Ovis aries: one gene and its partner. The protein of the gene in region 2 interacts with the protein of the main gene of each other region in a biochemical or structural test. Links are inferred from orthologs where the notes say so. Each region holds a gene or a part of one and is shown on either strand. Other genes may lie near its edges.

Evidence for each region. The genes of interacting proteins can lie anywhere in the genome.
Region 1: the proteins of OXSR1 (region 2) and WNK4 are reported together in a solved structure, tested with the Homo sapiens proteins (2 studies listed by BioGRID and IntAct, with this or other methods). The link is inferred for Ovis aries from reciprocal best matches to the Homo sapiens genes OXSR1 and WNK4.

Annotation. Positions count from the first base shown.
Region 1 is NC_056064.1:42,548,913-42,552,562, forward strand, and holds part of WNK4 (serine/threonine-protein kinase WNK4), read left to right. Parts: intron 1-167; coding exon 168-388; intron 389-745; coding exon 746-903; intron 904-1,430; coding exon 1,431-1,519; intron 1,520-1,610; coding exon 1,611-1,827; intron 1,828-3,503; coding exon 3,504-3,650. UniProt on the Homo sapiens protein: Serine/threonine-protein kinase component of the WNK4-SPAK/OSR1 kinase cascade, which acts as a key regulator of ion transport in the distal nephron and blood pressure.
Region 2 is NC_056072.1:11,735,298-11,738,947, forward strand, and holds part of OXSR1 (serine/threonine-protein kinase OSR1), read left to right. Parts: intron 1-1,520; coding exon 1,521-1,667; intron 1,668-3,275; coding exon 3,276-3,340; intron 3,341-3,650. UniProt on the Homo sapiens protein: Effector serine/threonine-protein kinase component of the WNK-SPAK/OSR1 kinase cascade, which is involved in various processes, such as ion transport, response to hypertonic stress and blood pressure.

The DNA.
Region 1 (3,650 bases), on a different chromosome or scaffold from region 2:
ACTGCCTTTCTGTCTGAGGCCGGGCGCGGATCTGTGCTAGGAGAAGAGAGCGGCAGATGCGTGGGCGGGAGTGGGTGGGGCTACGGGGCGGGGAACCTCCCAGTGGTGGGCTCCCTCCCCATCCTCTGTATCCCTCGCTCTGACCCTAGCTGTGCGCCCTCCCCTAGATACCTGAGGCGGTTCCGTGAGATGAAACCACGAGTCCTTCAGCGCTGGAGCCGCCAAATCCTGCGGGGGCTGCATTTCCTACACTCCCGAGTACCCCCTATCCTGCACCGAGATCTCAAGTGTGACAACGTCTTTATCACCGGCCCTACGGGCTCCGTTAAGATCGGGGACCTGGGCCTGGCCACGCTCAAGCGCGCCTCCTTCGCCAAGAGCGTCATCGGTGCGTCCCTCCAGGAGGATCCTTGTCATTCCTACCCTCCCTCCCCTTCCCCTGTCTGGAGAGAGCCTGGGGACTCCCTCCCCCAGTAGATTTAGAAGGGGGTCAGAGTTAGAACCCCCCCACGGAGTTAGAAGACCACGGGGAAGATGAGACTTGTAGCGTGTCCTCTTCCCCACAACCCCCCCACCCAACATACACACAAACACACACACACACACACACACACACACACACGACGGGAAGGGGTGGGTCTCTTGCACTCCAGAATTCGCGCGGTTGCCCCCACCCCCACTTGTACTTTCAAGGAGAGGGACGAAGCCAGAAAGGAGGTACTGACGTCTGCTGTGGATCCTGCAGGGACCCCGGAGTTCATGGCCCCAGAGATGTACGAGGAAAAGTACGACGAGGCCGTGGACGTGTACGCGTTTGGCATGTGCATGCTGGAGATGGCGACCTCGGAGTACCCCTACTCAGAGTGCCAGAATGCTGCTCAAATCTACCGCAGGGTCACCTCGGTGAGAGGGAGGAGAGGGAATCACAAGGCCCCCTTCCATTTGGCTGCCCAGGCCACCCCGCGGTCAATGCCCTTTCCCTTAATGAAAACGAGGTAGACACAAAGACGCCCCGGTGAACACTGAAGGTTACTGGATGCACTCACGGCCCCTCCAATTCAAGCTGTTTAGAATAACGATGTGTGTAGCGCTCCCTAGAGATTACCGATGATTCAAATCCAATCTCTCATCCGATCCTGTTCCCTGCCCCGCGGGGTGAGCAGGGCAAATGTTCTGCCCTGCATTTTATAAATGAGGACACCGGCTCAGCGAGAGCCTGGTTCAAGGTCGCACTGTCGATACGTGTGTGTGGGGGGGTGGTGGGGTCGGGGCGGGGGGACTGGGATTTGAAATCACAACTTCTAAACGTGTACCCGGTGCTTTGGCAACTGCAAGCGCTGCCGCCCCGGGCTGGGGCGGGGTGGGAGGGGGAGGTCAGCAGAAAGCTGGGGCACAGAGAGCCGGAGGCCTCATGCAACTTCATTCCCCAGGGCACGAAACCCAACAGCTTCTACAAGGTGAAGATGCCCGAGGTAAAGGAGATCATTGAAGGCTGCATCCGCACGGATAAGAATGAGAGGTGGGTGGAGGGGGCAGGGCGGACGGGGGTGGGGTAATGGCGGGGGGAGCGGGCGGCGGTGGGGCTCTGCTCAGGTTGGCACCGCCCTCAGGTTCACCATCCACGACCTTCTGGCTCACGCCTTCTTCCGCGAGGAGCGCGGCGTCCACGTGGAGTTGGCGGAGGAGGACGACGGAGAGAAGCCGGACCTCAAGCTCTGGCTGCGCATGGAGGACGCGCGGCGAGGGGGGCGCCCACGGGACAACCAGGCCATCGAGTTCTTGTTCCAGCTGGGCCGGGACGCGGCCGAGGAGGTGGCTCAGGAGATGGTGAGCGGAGGACAGCATGCCTGCCGCGTAACTGGGCGTGTGAGGGGCGTGTGGATCTCAACCGGAGAGGCCAGTGCCTTGTGGGTGCGATGTTTGGGTGGTGGGTTGTCTGGGTGGTGGGCTCAACGAAGCCCTCTCCGAGTTTCCTACGAGTGTCTCCCTGCTGCCCTCTCCTTAACGCACCTGCGGGCACACCTAGTGTTCTCCTCAAGTCAAGTCAAAAATTTCCTTTTCCGGCCCTGGGTCCCTCAACCTCCCTGTTTTAATTTCCTTCTGATCCGGCTTTCCCGAATTGTCCTCTCTCCGTGTTATCTATTTTTCCCTTTCTTGTTTCCCCGACTCCATCTTTTTCTTGATCTTGCTTCATGCTCGGAACCGTGCATTTGAGAAAGCCTGTCCGCTCTAGAGTTAAATGCTTCTTTCCATTTCATCAGGCCCTCCATTACTGAACGGGTCCCCATCAGTCTTATTTTATACCAGGATACATTCCCATCTTTCTCCTCCACAAGACTACAAGGGCTTGAGGGCAGAGACTGTGTGTATTGACCCTTCTGCCCCTGACAGTGCTTAGCACGTGATGGGAACTATTAACCACCCACATCTTAGAGCCCTTTCATGTGCATCTGATGGTTGTTACCAACCGTGCATAGAGTGATTTTATCTGATTTACTGCTGAGGAAATGAAAGCTCAAAGAAGCTGAATATCTTGTACCAGGTCCCAAGCAAGAAAGTGGCACAACTGACTCAGGTTGTTCAGATTTTGAGTCAGTTCATCCTGCCCCACCTTTACCTGCCCAGTGAAGCTTGTTATTGAAATGAATAAGGATAATGAATAGAAGCTGGTGGACCAGGAGAGGCATATATGAGAGGCAGAAGATATGGGGGTGGTCTGAGGTGGGAAGGGAAAGAGTATGATATTCTTGATGGGAAAATGCAGTTGAAAATGTGGGAATCATCTGTTGGTGGATCTGGGTCAAGAACCTAAGAATGTATTTGAAATAAGACATAGAAGTCAGTCTCTGTAGCCCAGCTCAAACCTGACCTGAGATTGGGACCTGGTCCATTACATACAGAAGTTCTTGACTTTAACACTAGTGACATCATTGTTCAGGAGACTCTGCCATACTGTTGTAGGTTGTTGAGAAGAATCCCTGGCATCAACTTAGAGGATCCCAGTGGGATCACCCCCCAAGTTGTGACAACTAAAAATATCTACAGATATTTTTCTCCACCATCCCCCCAGAGCAATTGACTTAGAGTATAACCTTGAACTGGTCACTTACTTTACTTATTTCTAAAATAGAGTTGATAAGACCTATCTCAGAAGGTTGCTGGAAGGATTTAATGATGATATGGTAAAGAGTTGCCAGTTGGATTTCTCTGGTCCAGTGGCTAGGACTCCATGCTCCCAATGCAGGGAGTCCAGGTTTGATCCCTGGTCAGGGAACTAGATTCCACATGCTGCAACTGAAGATCTTACCTGCCACAGCAAAGATCCAGCGCAGTCAAGTAAATAAATGGCTTTTTAAAAAATGCCAGTTGTGGACACAGTGCGTAATCAATATATGTTCCTTTTCATGTATATCCTAGAGGCCTCAAGAAGGTGTCCTGATGGGGCTTTGTTGAGGGATGGTGAATCTCACCTCAAACTGTGTTCCTCACCCTTCCAACTCCAGGTGGCCCTGGGCTTAGTGTGTGAAGCTGATTACCAGCCAGTGGCTCGTGCAGTGCGTGAACGGGTTGCTGCCATCCAGCGAAAGCGTGAGAAGCTGCGCAAAGCTAGGGAGTTGGAGGCCCTCCCCCCAGCGCCGAGACTCCCACCA
Region 2 (3,650 bases):
AGTTGATGGAAGTGCTGAAACCTGGTTGTAGAGATATTTATACAAGTATAAATTTTCTAAAAATCATTTGAGTTGTAGACCTAAATAGGGGGATTTAGTGGGACATAAATTTACACCTCAACTCATAAATTTCTCCAAGCCAGGCTTCAGCAATACGTGAACCATGAACTTCCAGATGTTCAAGCTGGTTTTAGAAAAGGCAGAGGAAGCAGAAAAATATCTTATTTCTTCTTTATTGACTAAGCCAAAGCCTTTGACTGTGTGGATCACAATAAACTGTGGAAAATTCTGAAAGAGATGGGAATACCAGACCACCTGACCTGCCTCTTGAGAAGCCTGTATGCAAGTCAGGAAGCAACAGTTAGAACTGGACATGGAACATCAGACTGTTTCCAAATAGGAAAAGGAGTCCGTCAAGGCTGTATAGTGTCACCCTGCTTATTTAACTTACATACAGAGTACATCGTGAGAAACGCTGGGCTGGAGGAATCAGAAGCTGGAATCAAGATTGCCAGGAAAAATCTCAATAACCTCAGATATGTAGATGACACCACCCTTATGGCAGAAAGTGAAGAAGAACCAAAGAGCCTCTTGATGAAAGTGAAAGAGAAGAGTGAAAAAGTTGGCTTACAGCTCAGCATTCAGAAAACTAAGATCATGGCATCCAGTCCCATCACTTCATGGGAAATAGATAAGGAAACAGTGGAAACCGTGGTTAACTTTATTTTTCTGGGCTCCAAAATCACTGCAGAGGTGATTGCAGCCATGAAATGAAAAGACGCTTACTCCTTGGAAGAAAAGTTATGACCAACCTAGATTGCATATTAAAAAGCAGAGACATGACTTTGTCAACAAAGGTCCGTCCAGTCAAGGCTATGGTTTTTCCAGTGGTCGTTTATGGATGTGAGAGTTGGACTATAAAGAAAGCTGAGCGCCGAAGAATTGATGCTTTTGAACTGCGGTGTTGAAGAAGACTCTTGAGAGTCCCTTGGACTGGAACAAGATCCAACCAGTCCATCTTAAAGATCAGTCCTGGGTGTTCATTGGTAGGATTGATGTTGAAGCTGAAACTTCAATACTTTGGCCACCTCATGTGGAGAGCTGACTCATTTGAAAAGACACTGATGCTGGGAAAGATTGAGGGCAGGAGGAGAAGGGGACGACAGAGGGTGAGATGGCTGGATGGCATCACCGACTCGATGGACATGGGTTTGGTTGGACTCCGGGAGTTGGTGATGGACAGGCAGGCCTGGCATGCTGTGGTTCATGGGGTCACAAAGAGTTGGACACAACTGAGTGACTGAACTGACTGAAATTTACACCTCAAAAGTTCTTAAAAACAGAAAAGCATAGACATATTTGACTTCCATTTGAAAGAGGTGTATGAGGTTGCAGAGATGGGCCAGTTCATACATAAGAACTGCTTTGAAAAGGTTGCCCCTCCTACACTGCTTGCCCATCAGCAGGCCCACCTCCCTCTCCTCTAAGCTTACACAGCGCTGCTTGTGTTTTTGTTACAGCTATTTTCCACAACTGATCCTGTGGGTACTTTACTCCAAGTTCCAGAACAGGTTTCTGCTCATCTACCTCAGCCAGCAGGGCCGACGGCTGCGCAACCCACTCAAGTCTCCCTGCCACCCACTGCAGAGCCAGCGATAGCAGCTCAGGTACAGCAGGGCCTGCTTTCTTCCATGGTCAGCCTTCTGGGTGGAGGAAGAAGGCGGAGGCTGGCGTGCAACACCGCCTTGTGCACTAAGGATGATGTCCTGGTAGATTCTGAAGCAAGTTAGAAATTCTGTTCTCACAGTTTCACGTGTATGCAGATAAGAGAGTTTAACAAGGATCACACGGTTCGTTTTTTGAGCACCAGAATAAGTTAATGATGGAAATATCCCAAACAGCAATAGTTTGGGGGATTGAAATTTCTTGTCAGCTTCCTTCCTGTCTTCCGGTCTCAATGCCTGCCCGCACCCCCAAAGGGAGCCACTCACAGGATATGCCACTGCTCGGCCTTGCACACCTGAGGGACCACCTAGTGAGCTCCAGGAGTGCCACAGGAGGCTGGGCGAGACGCTTGCACACTGTCACGGCGGGACCTTCTCGTAACAGTGTCTGCTGCTTGGACAGTGGACCGAATGAGAAGGGCTCCCCTGTCTTGTCAGCTTTTTGTTATATCCTTGTTCTGCTCAAGGTTAGAATGCAGCTGCCACTGAGGAGCACTGCCAACTCTTCTGTCGTCTTTGTTAATACTGTCTCCAAACCGTGGTTTTCCTGCGCTGCTCTTTTTAAGATACCTGTCAGTTTTGTGGGGTTGATTTTATTAAAATGCCATAAAGTGATGTGTGAATCCACCCAGTCAGGCACACATGACCTTATTGAATCAGAAGGTGCTGTGAGTGCTGAGGGAGTGAAGGCCCCCTGAGAAGCGCCCCGCCGCTGCTGTGCAGCCACCACTCTTCCCCTGGGAAAGCGCAGTACTGTCTGCAACATACGCCTGTGCTCCATGGCGAGAGTACCAGTTCAGAGTCCACGCGTTTATTAAACAGTAGCAGTGTTTTTATTTTGTTTTTTCTAAAATTCAGGTAGGAAAAAATAAAAATAGAAGGTCAGATGTTTTCATCTGCATCCCAGCAGTACTCTGCCTTTGGAGACCACTGCTCTGAGTGCTTCCAGACTAGAGTCCTGACTACATTTAACCTTTCCTTTGCCTAAGCTTTCCATTTCTGCCCATCATATGGGAAAGGAGATAGTCATCTTATGAAAACTGATGAAAAGATTGGATTCATTTTATAAACAGCCTAAATAGAATGTACATCCTCCAGTAAGCAAGGGACAGCTCTATGGTTTTCAGAGGATTAAAGATCTGGAACCTCCAGGTTGGGTGGTTTCCTGAGCAGCAGCCAGTTTAGGCCTTACTACAGATGTGTGGCCAATGGCAGGTTTTTTAAAGGGAAAATCCAGTGTCTTGTTCTTCACTCTTAAAGAGGGGAACAGAGGTCTGAAAAACGCAAAATTGAAATGTGACTGTGTATGGCATTTCATGTAGGTTTGACAATGATCTTTCCAATTGTGTTTGACTCAGACTGACATTCAGCTATTGCTGCTGCCTTAGGGTGCATGTCCTCCCACAGCAGGGAGTCCTGGGGACTAGGATGCCCACACCTGGAGATGAAGAAAATTGCTGCCACGTGGACGATTCATCTCTTAGACGAGCATCAGTCACCACCACACTCAGTACTCCAGGCAATGACTTTATACCTTTCAATGCTTTTTAGGCTCTGTCTTCAGGAGCAGGTTCACAAGAAACCAAGATCCCAATCAGTCTAGTACTAAGATTACGGTAAGTAAGACATTTTGTTGTTGTTCTTTTCTGAATACTCTGAATGTGCTGATTTCTCTTTGGAAGTTACTCCTCCTTCTCATAGTGCATGCCTGAGAGTAACTGGATAGAACTGTGTGTGTTTGCTTTCGGGTGTATTATTTCCCTCAGATATAATAGCAGTAGTGTGAGGATCTGAGTTACCATTGACTCATTCCTCTTTCCACATGTGAATTCCTAGTCATCTCAGTATGACCATAATTAGAGCAGAGGCAGCAAGACCTATTTGGGGAATGTTCTGGGGGTTTTTTGAACTAATTATTTATTTTTT